Caenorhabditis elegans: one gene and its partners. The protein of the gene in region 4 purifies or fractionates together with the protein of the main gene of each other region. This does not show direct contact. Each region holds a gene or a part of one and is shown on either strand. Other genes may lie near its edges. The genes, in order: R04F11.2, atp-4, F29B9.11 and ndua-7.

Region 1 (3,817 bases), on a different chromosome or scaffold from region 4:
AGTTTTGCAGAGTATGGAGAGTCTTGATTTGAATACTAGCAGGTTAGTACTGTTCTTTTTTACAATTTAGTATATTTTGAATCCATCCACAATCTCTCAACTTTCAGATGCTCCACCGCTCGAACATTGACACCTCGAGAATATTATCAGAAGATTCTTTTCCAGTACTGTAAACAACTTCAACCGGAAGAACCTATTGCTGACATCGACAATTAATATTACTGGTCATTTTATAGTTCTCTTAATCCATGGAGTCTTTCAACCTAACATCCAGTTTCTAGGATTATGTTTTTTTACTGTTTCCCATCATGCTTTCCCCAGTTTCCATAAAGCCTTGAACAACTTCCCACAAAATTATCGAACTTAGAATCGAAATTCTTCAGATTCCTCTTACATATCCTCGTTTTTCTTATCCTAAATTATTTATTTATTTTAGGTTTTTTACATTAAAAATAAAATTTCAACAGTTTTTTATCAACCCCGTCTTTTCAAATTGACCAACCCCTTGACTTCTTTCCAAATGTGATTTTTTCGATGACTTCGAGTCAGGCTCATCTTATGTATTCGATTTTTTCAAAAAAATAAAATTTGTAATTTACTGAAATTTGCAGCTACTTTAAACAAAACGAGAAACTTTAAAATTTAAAAGAAGAATACAATTAAACACACACTACCAAATATAGAAGAAATGTCTCTGTTTCGGAGAGGTATTCATTGAACTAATAAAAGAAAAAGGGATAATTCTCCTGGGTCTGATAGTGTGTCTTCGTGACCGTCGTCTTAATCCTCCTTGTAGAGATCGGCAACTCCGAATTGCTTGACTCCCTCTTCGAAAGGAATGTTGACAACCTGAAATGAAAACAGCGATAAAAGTTTTACTCTTCGCAAACATCGCTTTTTTAATATTGCATAAATTAATACATAACAAAAATAGCAACGCAATCTTAAAATAATTTCTGCCAACGTCGTCAAAGTGTTTCTATGCCAAAAAAATTGATCGTGTACCACATCGTTTTCAAGAATAAACTTTTTTCAGAAGCTGTGTTCAATAATTTCAACATTTTCCGACTAGTACTGCAAATAATTACATTTCTAAACTATCTCACTGGAGACATTATATCAACCTAATATTTTTAGGGTTTTAAAAATATTCTCTTGGTATTAATATTTTGTTGCTGTAAAAGATAACTTCCGACAGTGATGCATTTTCCATAATAAGAATTGAAAAACCACCGTAAAATTTCACAGCGAATTTTCAAAAATTTTGGTCGGGCAAAACTCAAATTTAAGATTCACAAAAATTATATTGAAAAAATTTGCATTGATTTCCAATAATCTGTTTTTACAAAAAAAAAAGCATTAGAGTTTTGTTTTTTAATAATGGAGAGCATGTGAGTCTAATCATTTCCAGAGACTAATTCGACAAAATAATAAGCATTAGTTTAAAGTGAAGCTACTAGAAGCCATATTTTCCGATAAATAAATTTTAAACATTTTAAGTTTCAAAAAATATCGCTCTATTTTCACAAAGCTTGTTTCTGAGTTTCCTGAACCAAATTTTTTTAGACATAAAATAGTAACGGTAACATCGCTAACAAAATTAGGGGATTTACCAGAAAAGAAAAAAAAATTCCGAGATAGTTTCAATCGTTTCTCCCAAAATTACATTCAGATAATTTTCATGTATTCATTTTTTGATAGAAATATCTTACCTGCATGAGGTATCTCATCTCGTCCTTGGCAAGCCACTTCTTCTTCTTGGCGGCTTCCTCTGCAGCGGCAACAGCCTTTTCGTGATCCCACTCACGAATATCGGCGTGGTACTCGCGAATCTGGCGAAGACGGAAAAATCCTGAAAATAATTTTTATCTTCTGAAGAAGGTTTACGGAAACTGTAATTATCTTGGAATACTGCTTTTTTTAATTGTAAAATTGTAGGAGGACAGTAGAACTCTTGAAAAAAGATAAATTCAATCTGTATTAACAGTCACTGTTTTCAAAAGTCACGTATGAAAAATGTTTGAAACGACTTACCATAGACAACTCCAAGGGAGAGCGCCGCATAACGTCCGAAACGGATAAGTGGGGAGATGGTGACCGTTGGTGGCTGGAGAACCACAGCGTTCGGATGTTTGAGTGGGGCCGACATCTGAAAAATGATAATAAGTGAAAAATATTCAAAAAGAATTAATAAATTTGTGAGAAAATATACAAAGCGAATGTAAAGAACTTCAAGTAAACCAAATAACGTTCCCCGTATGTGGGTAAGAGAAATTTATTGATCACGTTTTCGGGTTTGTAAGCTGGATAAACTTGTTTGAAAAAAATTATCAAAATCAACAGAAACTCACTAAAAACAGGAAAAATATTGATATTACCACAGCACCGCGCGAAAAGAAAGAAAATGCTACAGCTGAAACGAGTGTCACCGTACCCCCTCATCGAAGCGAGACCTGCGTTATTTCGGAGTGTCGTTTGGCAGTTAGATTTTTTTTTCAAAAAAAAATTATTTTGCGTTCAAAAATGTTTGCAAAAGTATTTTACATTGCATTTCTTCTTTTGACTACTTACTTATTCTGTCAAGAATCAAAAATCTCGAATATTGCCTTTATTTTTTCCGAGTTCTTCAAAAAGCCGTTTTACCTATTCGTTATGCTGTTAATTTGCATACGTTTGTCTTTTAAAAGTTATTTTAAACGTTTTCGTTTCGTTATCTTTTTTTATTCAGTTGTTTCGTTAACAATTATTCATTTCAGATGGCTGCTGCTTCAGTGAAAGGCTTTTTCCAGCGGACCGGAATCAGCATCAAAGAATATTTTAAACGAATGGGAAATGATTATGCTACTGTAGCTAGGGAAACTGTCCAAGGATGTAAAGATAGACCTGTTAAAGCTGGTATGACACCTCTCTACCTATCATTCTTATTGATCAATTTCAGGAGTTGTTTTCTCTGGGCTCGGTTTTTTAACCTATGCATATCAGACAAATCCAACAGAGCTGGAAATGTATGATTATTTATGCGAGAGACGACAAAAGTTAGTTTTGGTCCCGAATTCTGAGCATAATCCGGCTACAAGTATGTTCCACATTCTAAATGCTATGAAGTAATGGCTATTTTCAGCTAAAGAATTAACTGCTCGCGACTTTCTCATCAGCCAAAATCGATTGCATTATTACAATCTCTGGTTCTTTTCGCTCTTGGTTGCTAGCGATTACAACGATAAACTTAGAATATATTCTTCACAAGATTCAAATCTAAAAGATTGGCCATGGACAGAGTTGTGGAGGAACATTGTTGACATTGGAGCTCTCGGTAGATGGCATCGTATGGAAACAGCATTTGTTGATTATGATGTTAATACTGACGAGATTGATTTGCTGCCTGATGGCGACAAAAATTAGTGTTCATTTTTGTTTAGGGTTTTACTAGATCAAGTAGTTTTATGTGATACTGGTACTCTTGTTTTTTTTGTTTCAAAATAAAAATGTTTATTGTTCTCTCTGAAATATCGTTTTCTTTGAAACTTATTTGGTTCACAAACCTTCTAAATATTTGTTTTCCTCATTCGTTGAATATATTCATTTCATTTTGTAGATGGTGGAGAATTTCACCTCAATACTCGATGATGTGTGCGACCCTCTGACACTCACAAATTTCATAAAGCAGACATCACTACCAAGGTCAGAAGCCACAAGGTATGTATGATACTGTACACGTTTTTAAATGAATTTATCAATTTTCAGCATCCTTGAAGATTATGTGAAATCAAAAGGGGATCCGCTATGGGCACTTTATGAAATCAGTGGAGCTGTTGAT
Region 2 (3,059 bases), on a different chromosome or scaffold from region 4:
GTTTATTTAACTATTTACAATATTTATATAATTTAATCTGAACTCTTCTTCCAGTCGCATCTCTGGGCTTCTCGATAAAACTCAAGGAGCTGTTCTTATCGGTGGAGAACGTGATCGTGCAGATCTCTACATCCCTCCAACTGTCCTTGACGTTGAGAAATCTGATCCATTCATGCATGATGAGATTTTTGGTCCAGTCCTGCCCATCATCACTGTCCAGTCTTTCTCGGAGTCGCTTGAGTACATTGCTGATGGAGAGAAGCCTCTGGCTGCTTACATTTTCACAAGAAATGAAGCTAAAGTTAAACGCCTTTTGAATGAGACTAGCAGTGGTGGTGTGACTGTTAACGATGTGTTGATGCACATTACTGGTATGCTATTTTAATTTTAAAATATCTGAATAATTTTTGAATTACAGTTGATACTCTCCCGTTCGGAGGAGTAGGTGTCTCTGGAATGGGACGTTACCGTGGAAAGTATGGATTTGACACATTCACCCATGAAAAGTCTGTGCTTCACAGAGGATTCTTCGGAGAATCTCTTTTAGCGTACGTTTTTTCCGAACCTTCGATACCTAATCGCATTAATTTCAGAGCTCGTTACCCGCCACTAAGCCAACAAAAGCTCGATCAAATGCGACGCCTCACGGGAAAACGAATCTCTCTGAATCTGATGAATGTTGCGACTCTTCCTATCGTAATGGCCTCATTCGTTTTTGGAATGCTCTTCCAGGTATGCAGAGGAAAATCAGCTCAATAGATTCTCACACAGTCAGCACCTGCTTCACTAGATTAATTCACAAATCGCAGTACAATTTTTCAGAAATGTTCTAGAAATGTACAGGATGATTAATTACTGCGAAAATACGTGATATTTAGCTTATCATATTCACATATTTTTGTTGCTTTCCAATTTGCCTCACTAACTTATGTCCAAACATCTAACAATAAACTATTCAAATCAGTTATTGTACGGATATTTCCCGTTTGTAACCTCCAAAGGCTCCTTATGTTTCGAAGGTCCTTCACATCCTTTGTTTTTATGCTTCAGCTAACTAGTACCAATTCGATAACAAATAAATACAGAAAAAATAATACTAGTTTCAGTTCATTTTCCGCTTCTCGGCATAAAATCGAGACATGCTGGTGGAGGTGGCAAACGCGAAATGGCGTACAGTAGGCTCGGTGTTTGCGGACTAGTCGTGCGGTCAATGTTCACTCTTACGTACTTTCACACCACTATTCTTCTTCCGTCTCGCCCTATTTTTTAACTTCTTTTTTTTTTCACAAATTCCTAGTCAATTTTTTCACCGGATCTTCTAATCATTCCATAAACTCTAGTCCATAACCAATTCCCGCATGAAAAGTGTCCCCAAATATTAAAAATTCGTGTAGTTTCAATTTAAAGCAATAATTTTATTAATTTTCATTCCCGATATTTTCAGAAATATGCTCGCAATCTTCATTGATCCGCCAAACGTTCATTTTCATTTTTTTTTTAAATTTTCCTCCCCTCTCTTGAGTATGTTTATTTTTGTAAATATTTTAATAAATCATTGTTTTGTGGAATTTTGCGCTTTGTTTGATTTTCCTGGTTTCCGGTGCCTTTTCTTCGATACTTATAAACATCCTTTGAACAGAAAACAATTTCTAAATTTATATTCAGGTATGTTCCGCGCAGTCCAATCAGTCCGTTCTCTTTCGACCACCGCGGCTTGCCGCCAGGACTTGATCCAGCAGACTTTCGTCACCAAGATCCGCGAAATCGCCAAGAACGCCGGTAACCTGGCTAACTCTGATCCAGCCGTTAAGAAGGCTCTCCAGGAAGAGCTCAACAGATTGGCCACCAAGTTCCAGCTCGCCAACGCCGATGTTGTTTCGAAGCTCCCAACTAACTTTGAAGCTGCTAAGGTAATATAAATGAAGACAAACAAACAAAGATTTATTTAAAAAATAAAATTAGCTAAAAAAAATTTCAGTTACAAAAGTATCGCTCGATTGAACAATTTTTAAATGAATTATCGAAGTAAATTAAAGAAACATCCTTATTTTTGTCGATTAATAACCAAAATAGTTTCAAATAATTTTTAAAAAATCAGCTTTTGTTTTTGTAAATATATTTGATAATCTGAGAACCAGAAGTAACCCGATTAATGTATATCTTATAAATTTTAGATTATTAATAGGCTGTTCCAAGTGCTGAGTTAAAAAAAAACATTAAAATGCTCGTTTCCAGGTTGACTCTGCAGTTCAATCCGCTCTTGAAGGACAAACATTGGCTTCGCTTCTTGAAGGAGTCAAGAAGGACCACTCTGAATATGTTGCCTCCCGTGATGCCAAGAAAGCCGAACAAGCCGCCCGTAATGCTGCCCTCAAGCAATAAATTTAAGCTCTCGATTTTGAATGGTGTATTGTTTCTTTTTGTAATAGATCGTCTATAGACCGAATGAACGTTTTTGTTCCTTAATTTTTGAAATTTCTCTCTGTTCTTTTGTAAACTTTGTTGTTTTAGTCACGAAGCTTATTTTTATTATTCTCATTCAAAATTTTTCGATAAAGTGGCTTGTTATCAGCCATTTTAAACTCGTTCAATCAAATCATGGGTTGTACAGTTGTTCTACGAGCAAACATATTCAAACTCTTCCCCAACCCGTGAATACTCTTTTGAACGGCACCCCATTGCCGATTTGGGGTGCACCATTAGGCAGACCTGTCTGTCCGCAAGCCTCCTACGTCATCACACAGACACTAACCCAGCACCATTGCGCAGACGCGACAGACGACCTTTTATTTGCTACTCATATACCACACGATTTCAAATTGCAGGTTTTCGTTCCGCCGAAATGGATTCAAAACTCTAGTCATTTCAAAATTAATAAAAGGTTTGTGTTTTTTTCTCTCACGCATTTTTAAAATTCCATTTCCAATATTTAAGATGGTCGAATTTTCAAAGGAGTCATCGACCAGAGTCTCTGTAAACTCACAACGACAAATATCGCATGTCCAGAAACGAGAGCTCACGAAGCGAAAGGTTCGTTACTGATGTAACAGATAAGATGG
Region 3 (2,912 bases), on a different chromosome or scaffold from region 4:
AAACAAAACAAAACAAAAAACTCAAAACAACTATTTTCTGAGATCGAAATTAGGACGTCACTTGTCCGGGATGCTTGTCGGGACGATTTTTTCGAACGAGAAATTTCATTTTCCGGTTCATGTCCTCGTTGAAAATCGCCGTTGATGCTTCCATCGACAGTGTTTTTCGTTGCATGTAGGGCTTCTGATAGAATTGAGTGCGGCGAATGATTTTCAGCATTCCTTCTGAATCCATCAATCTGAAATTATTTCAATCTTGAAATTATGTTCTGGGAATTTTTCCAAAGAAAACCTGTTAAGAAGTCCGAAAGCTCCATCGACATCATTGTTCTGCACCATTACTGTTCGAGTTGCGAATCTTGGATGTGAATTCCAAATTCCTTTGAAAAGTTTAATCGCGAACGGCTGAGAAATCGTTCCTCTCCAGGTGAATTGACGTACCATCTTTAAAACAATTATCAAAAAAATTCTAAATGAAAAACCGAATCGAACATTTATCTTTCATGGATGGATAAACCACATTTGACAGCGAATAAAATTGAGAAAAAGCGAAGAGAAAACAAGAATCGATTTATTGTTGTTCTCAAAAGTCTACACAATGGCTCGTGGCATAATATTACTTCTACTGTCTGCGGGCGGCAACACGGGCGTCAATCTCTTCTTGGACTTCTGGGGAGAGAGCATTATCCGGTCTTGGGCGAAGACTATCAAGTCTGAAGAGGACGGAAGTTGGGTATGCCATGAAAGCGACGCAGATGAGTCCGTAAAGGGCAACCTGAAAAAATTGGTGTTATAGTGAATAATATGGATATCTGGATAAATATGTTTTTGAGCAGCTAAATTAAAAGTGAGACAAATTTCAAAACTGTATCTTTTAGTTCAGAAATTAATTTTTCAAATCCATTCAAACGAATGTACAAACTGAAATTTAGTTTTTTTTGGTGAGCTAGTGGTATTTTAAGTTTTACTGCTCACAAGGATAAGTTCAAGACATTTAGCAAATAAAAAATTACCTTCTCGCTGACAGAGGTGAAACGGAGTGGTGGGGTCGAGTCAACTCCCTTGTGAAGCGAGCGACGGATGACATGTTGGCTTCTAGCCAAGGAGAGCACAGCACGGTTCAGCATCCTGCAATAAATCGTTTAAATTTACAGAGTAATTGAGCAAGCATGATAATCCATAGAAAACGAAACAGAGAATACGATTCAGGCGGTTATAAAAACAGAAACTATACGAAAATCGTTAATTCTACACAATGAATCAAAAAATTATTTGATTTTGCTAATGGATGAAGCTTGAAAGCTGAAAAATAGTAAAAATCTGCTTAAAAAATAATCGGCAGGCTGTGAGAGGTTAAAGGCGCAGAGACGGCTGACGGAAAACAAAAACAATCGTTGCGAGACCAGCCGCTTGGCTACGTGCCAAGTGTGAGAATACGGAAGGTGAGAAAGACGGAGACACTGCGAAGCGAGTGAACGGTGAATGCGAGACACCAAAACCCGGAAGTGGACAGGCAGAAATTGATTTTCTCGTTAAAAATTTTTTGTATTCAGAATTGCAATCAATTCAACTAATCAATATTGATATTTTCATCTTAAAGTTTATCTACTAATTAGTATTTAATCCCACAAACTCGTAAATTTCATCGCGACTCACGTTCCCCCGTTTCGCAGTGTCTCTTGTTTCGCATGCTGCGTCTCGTTTCTCTTCTTCTTCACATCTCCTCGAGGCTTACAGTTTTTTCAGCATATATTTCAGTTTTCCATCATTTTTCTGGAGTTTTTTATTGAAAAATGTTGTAACAGAAATAAATTTAAACATTTCGAAGCTATTTTCATGTTATTTTGTCCGTTGTTTCCCTTTCAATCGACTATTCGTTGAAGTTTTCGAGTTTTCCGTTAAAAATCGTTGTTTTCCAGAATCTACACATTCCAAATGGATGGTAATGATATAAATATACAAAAAAACGAGTTTTCTCGAGACCAATCAGCACTTCTAATGATGGATCAGCATTCCGACCATAAGAATCACGAATCGGCAATCGGCGAGCCAGGAATGTCATACACAGCCTCTCAACCGGCTCTTTCCTCTACTGAGCATCAAACGCCATTAGTTTCTGTACGATTTTTTATTTTTCTGCGATTATTCAATGATATTGATTACAGGAAGCAAGCGTCGCAGCTCCTCAAAATCATTTGAATGGCAATTCCCATGAATCGGTTTCCGAAATGGATAGAGTAAGTGTTTTATTCATTTAAAATTTTAAAAAAAGTCTCATCTCAGAATTCGGTTGATTTTGCGATAGAATCAGTGCTCATGAAAGTGAGTGTAACCTCCGATTTCACTGAACTTCCTCCATTTCTCAACGTAATTTTCCAGGCGAGAGCTTACAACAAGATGGGCGCTCCAAAAGATCCGAGGAGAAAGCAGCACAATCCGAAGAGCGAGCCTAAAATCGAGCCACATGTGACAGATTCATCGGATAATCAGGCTGCAATGAGCAACAAGATGGAAGCGGAAGCGCCGAAGATGGAGTCAAATCAGAACTACGTCAGCAACGGATCTGAGGTATGGTTTATTCTGAAATGTGGAAGATTATTTTCATTCAAAAAAAATTTATTTATAAATTTATAAATTTTTGAAAAAATTCAAATTTCCCGTGGCAATATCATACTGAACTTTTAAATGAAGAAAAAAAATTAATTGATAAATATCATCAAATTTTATTCCAGCCTCCATTCCGTTTCGTTTCAATTTCGAATTTCGACGAAATGAAAACAAAAAAGAAAGAAGTTCAAGAAGAATTGAAGCTTGAGGTGGACTCGGACAGTGAAGAAGATGATGTCCCAGAGCAGAAAACTCCAAAGGAATCGGATCGATGTGGAGGATGCGGAAAATTTACTCATGAAGAT
Region 4 (3,485 bases):
CCCTCGTAAATCGACACTCATTAAACTGTGCCGCAGGCTTGCAAGACCGGTTTTTTTGTGTGAAACGGTGCTCAAATTCACAAAATTTCTGATTTTTTTCGCTAAAAATCACGAAATTCAGCTTAAAAATCATTGAAAACCGGAATTTTTTTTCTCTCCAATTTTCCAAGGCTACCTGTGGAATGTAGTAATACCACTGATCCCAGACGTAGGTCTTGAAGGTCTTAACAAAGGCCTGATCGAAGAATCCCTTGTAGGCCTTTTGCTCGTTTGGAGCAAGCGCGAAGCGGTGCTCTCCGTACATCTTGCCGAGATTTCCAAAGTGTTTGCCCATTGAAACGACGGTCGGTCTCATTGTTGTCTGGAAGTGGAAGTATTTGGAAAATTTAATTGATAAATTAGAATAATAAAAATGGTAAAATAACAAAGAAAATCGATATTTCAAGGCTACAAAAACCAGGAAAAAGGGAAAAAATGCAGGGAAACCCCTAAAAACCGCGAGAAAAAAGCTTCATTTCTGTCACATTCTGAACCACTAAAATTAATTTACAAAAAAAAAACGCTTAGGCGCTCTTCGTGAACTTGTCGAAACGCTGCAAATACTCGAATTCGGTGTTCTTCTGCTGGCTGGCCAGCTCATTCTGCTTGGATCGGCTCCATTCGGCTCCAAAACCAGGGGTTGGAGCTGTCAATCCGAAGTTTGTGGCGACTCCTTGATTCACTTGCGCTGGCTGTGCTTTTTCTCCTCCAACAAACTCGCCAGACGAGTAGAGCACTTTCGGAGCATCGACGTTTCGGCGGCCGTCTCTGCAAAAAAAATTTGATGATTTTTTGAGAGAATTTAAATTTTTAATGGACTACTCCCTGTGGGGAAATTGCTTTAAAACATGCCTATGGGGCCACAATGACCGAATATCATGATAAAAAAATTTTAAAAATTTTTCTGGATTTTATATGATTTTTTGAAAATTGAAAAAATCTCAGTTTTCCCCCCTAATTCCTATTTGAATTTCCGCCAATTGAACTCGTTCGTTGGAGCGCGCTTGCATTATTTTCGTTAATTTTTTAAAATTTATTTTCATTATTTCACTGATTTTCTTTATTTTTTGAAGGTTTTTAATCGGAAAATGAAAGAAATAAACAAGAAAAATGCAAAATTTTTATTAAGAAGTAACTGAAAATGGCTAAAACTCTGATTAATACTAATTTCAGGCTCGTCGTCGTCGGATCGCATAATAGGCATTTTCGGCTACTTTTTAATAAGGACTGTGAATTTTCTTGCTTATTTCTTTCATTTTCCGATTAAAACCCCAAAAAAATAGAGAAAATCAGTGAAATAATGAAAATAAATTTTAAAAAATTAACGAAAATAATGCAAGCGCGCTCCAACGAACGAGTTCAATTGGCGGAAATTCAAATAGAAATTAGGGGTGAAAACTGAGAATTTTTCAATTTTCAAAAAATCATATAAAATCTAGAAAAAACTTTTAAATTTTTTTATCATGATATTCGGTCATTGTGGTACCAAAGGCGTGATTTAAAGCAATTTCCCCACAGGGTGGAATTTTTTGAACCTTGTCAAGTAATAATTATCAGCGAGCTTGTGATGAACACCTCCTGGAAGAGCCGGGAGCTCTGCGGAGCAAGGACGAGCGGATTGGGTGTTTGGGAAGCGGAGAGGGTTCTGGTAGACTGCTTTTCCGTCCGGGCCGGCGATTCCTGGTGGCGGGGTGATGGGGAGTCGGTCGGAAGCCAACAGCTTTTCTGGAAATTTCTAAATTTTCATTAATTTGTTAATATTGGAGCGCAAAAAACGGAAAAAGAAAAACTTACGCTTAAGCCAGTTCCAGAATGGCGTCTGGGTGCGATTTTGAACAGTGGCCGCCGCAATTTTGCGACCGCTCATTGTCGGTCTGGAAAATTTATATTTTTATAAACAAATTGGGAAGCTTGGCTTAGAATAAATATATATTATAAACAAAACGAGCTTTTCTCGATTTTTCCAAGAAAAAAACTGGAGAAAACTAGCAATTTAGAAGAAAAAAAACCATTTTTCTTCAAAATAGCATTTCTCAGCCAAATTTTGCTCAAATCGATTCGGATCTGGATTTTCGACTTAAAATAACTCTAATAACAAGCTTAACTGATTTTTCAACAAAATTATCCATAAAAAATCACGGAAAATCGATAAAATCTGAAAAGAAAGCGATTAAAAAGTAAATAAATAAATGACCGGTCGTCAGTTGGTGCATTTGCGCGTCACGGTGTTTGCACACAATGCATCACATTTTACGGGCAATGTGCCTATGGTAATTAATTTATATAAATAAACATGATTTTATAGTTGAAAGTCGGGCTTTTTAGAGTCAATAAAAGAATAATTTATTGTGAAAATAAGCAAAAAAGAAAAATGAATAAATCTACAAAATCACAAGTCTTGATAAGCATTAGAACGGAATGGATGTGCTGGTTCGATCACAATATTCTGACGTTCGGTATCCGAAGTTGTCTGTACCTCACGATAGATTACAGTACATGGGACAGCGTAGAAAATTGTTTGTACGATGAAGAAAACCTGAAATTAACATATATATTGCCTAAAAATCCCCCTTAAAACCCACCCCAGCAGCAATATATCCCGCAGAAGTGCCGAAAAGCGACCGATTCGCGAACGAAAACGAAAGCCAGACGGAAATCACGGAGAGGACCGCCAAAATAAAGGAATACACGAGCTCCACGACATTCCACGCGATGCTTCCATTCGAAATACTCTCCATGAGCTCATCCTGAATCCGCAGGGCGAAGATTACCGTTGCCGCCGCGGAAATCTGGAAATTCAGGGGGTTGATGGGGGTAAAAATTTAATAAAAGGATAAACTAACAATTAATTGAACAATTAGAGTAAACCAAAGAATCCCATTATCCCCGGAAGCCGTCGATCCAATGCAAACCGCCAGAATTACAGCGTTAATCTGAAAAATTGAACATGGTGCATCGGGAAATTAAAAAAATCAATAAACATACCGCTTGCAATGGCTTAAAATAGTGTGGAAGTTTGAGAAAAACGTTATCCTCATTTTCGAATATGTTTCCAAGAGTTTGCATTTTTTTTTAAATTTTGTGTTGCAAAAAAAATTCAGCGAATTCGAAATTTTATCGATTAAAACTGTAATAATACGTGCACAGTGATTCTGTCTGTTGTTGTGCTCACACACGTATCTTATCAGTAAACATTATAGTTCACATGATTTGGGGGTTATTGTGTAGTTTGTAGTGTATTATTGGTGATAGAAATACGGTTCCCGGGGTCTCGACACGACAAATTTTTGTTAGATGCGAAAAGGTGTGTGCGTCTTTAAAAAGAGTACTGTAGTTTAAAACTTTTGTTGCTGCGGACTTTTTATTGAATTTTTTTAAATTTAGGTTTTTTTTAAAGTGATATGTGATTTTTTTTTAATTTTACAGATTTTTTTCGAAGTTTTACA

What was found.
Region 1: the proteins of ndua-7 (region 4) and R04F11.2 fractionate together in Caenorhabditis elegans (co-fractionation; one large-scale study listed by BioGRID). This does not show direct contact.
Region 2: the proteins of ndua-7 (region 4) and atp-4 fractionate together in Caenorhabditis elegans (co-fractionation; one large-scale study listed by BioGRID). This does not show direct contact.
Region 3: the proteins of ndua-7 (region 4) and F29B9.11 fractionate together in Caenorhabditis elegans (co-fractionation; one large-scale study listed by BioGRID). This does not show direct contact.

What each region holds. Positions count from the first base shown.
Region 1 is NC_003283.11:12,316,959-12,320,775, reverse strand, and holds R04F11.2 (ATP synthase F(0) complex subunit e, mitochondrial), read right to left. Parts: upstream 2,150-3,817; coding exon 2,035-2,149; intron 1,853-2,034; coding exon 1,713-1,852; intron 850-1,712; coding exon 781-849; 3' UTR 547-780; downstream 1-546. Other genes in the region: twk-13 (Potassium channel domain-containing protein), read left to right, coding at 1-42, 108-216; R04F11.5 (Mitochondrial import inner membrane translocase subunit Tim29), read left to right, coding at 2,757-2,895, 2,939-3,076, 3,122-3,402; R04F11.3 (DNA polymerase delta subunit 3), read left to right, coding at 3,596-3,696, 3,745-3,817.
Region 2 is NC_003283.11:6,425,719-6,428,777, reverse strand, and holds atp-4 (ATP synthase-coupling factor 6, mitochondrial), read left to right. Parts: upstream 1-1,665; 5' UTR 1,666-1,667; coding exon 1,668-1,910; intron 1,911-2,235; coding exon 2,236-2,382; 3' UTR 2,383-2,532; downstream 2,533-3,059. Other genes in the region: alh-4 (Aldehyde dehydrogenase), read left to right, coding at 55-371, 419-548, 594-732, 823-852; T05H4.11 (DUF4706 domain-containing protein), read left to right, coding at 2,935-3,030.
Region 3 is NC_003282.8:4,659,074-4,661,985, forward strand, and holds F29B9.11 (Cytochrome c oxidase polypeptide VIIc), read right to left. Parts: upstream 1,129-2,912; 5' UTR 1,128-1,128; coding exon 1,014-1,127; intron 776-1,013; coding exon 623-775; 3' UTR 558-622; downstream 1-557. Other genes in the region: mrps-21 (Mitochondrial Ribosomal Protein, Small), read right to left, coding at 50-239, 293-444; jmjd-1.2 (JmjC domain-containing protein), read left to right, coding at 1,936-2,118, 2,166-2,237, 2,284-2,568, 2,733-2,912.
Region 4 is NC_003280.10:13,492,688-13,496,172, forward strand, and holds ndua-7 (NADH dehydrogenase [ubiquinone] 1 alpha subcomplex subunit 7), read right to left. Parts: upstream 1,914-3,485; 5' UTR 1,907-1,913; coding exon 1,834-1,906; intron 1,765-1,833; coding exon 1,575-1,764; intron 808-1,574; coding exon 564-807; 3' UTR 505-563; downstream 1-504. Other genes in the region: F45H10.2 (Cytochrome b-c1 complex subunit 8), read right to left, coding at 176-355; drr-1 (MARVEL domain-containing protein), read right to left, coding at 2,429-2,575, 2,622-2,828, 2,883-2,972, 3,025-3,105.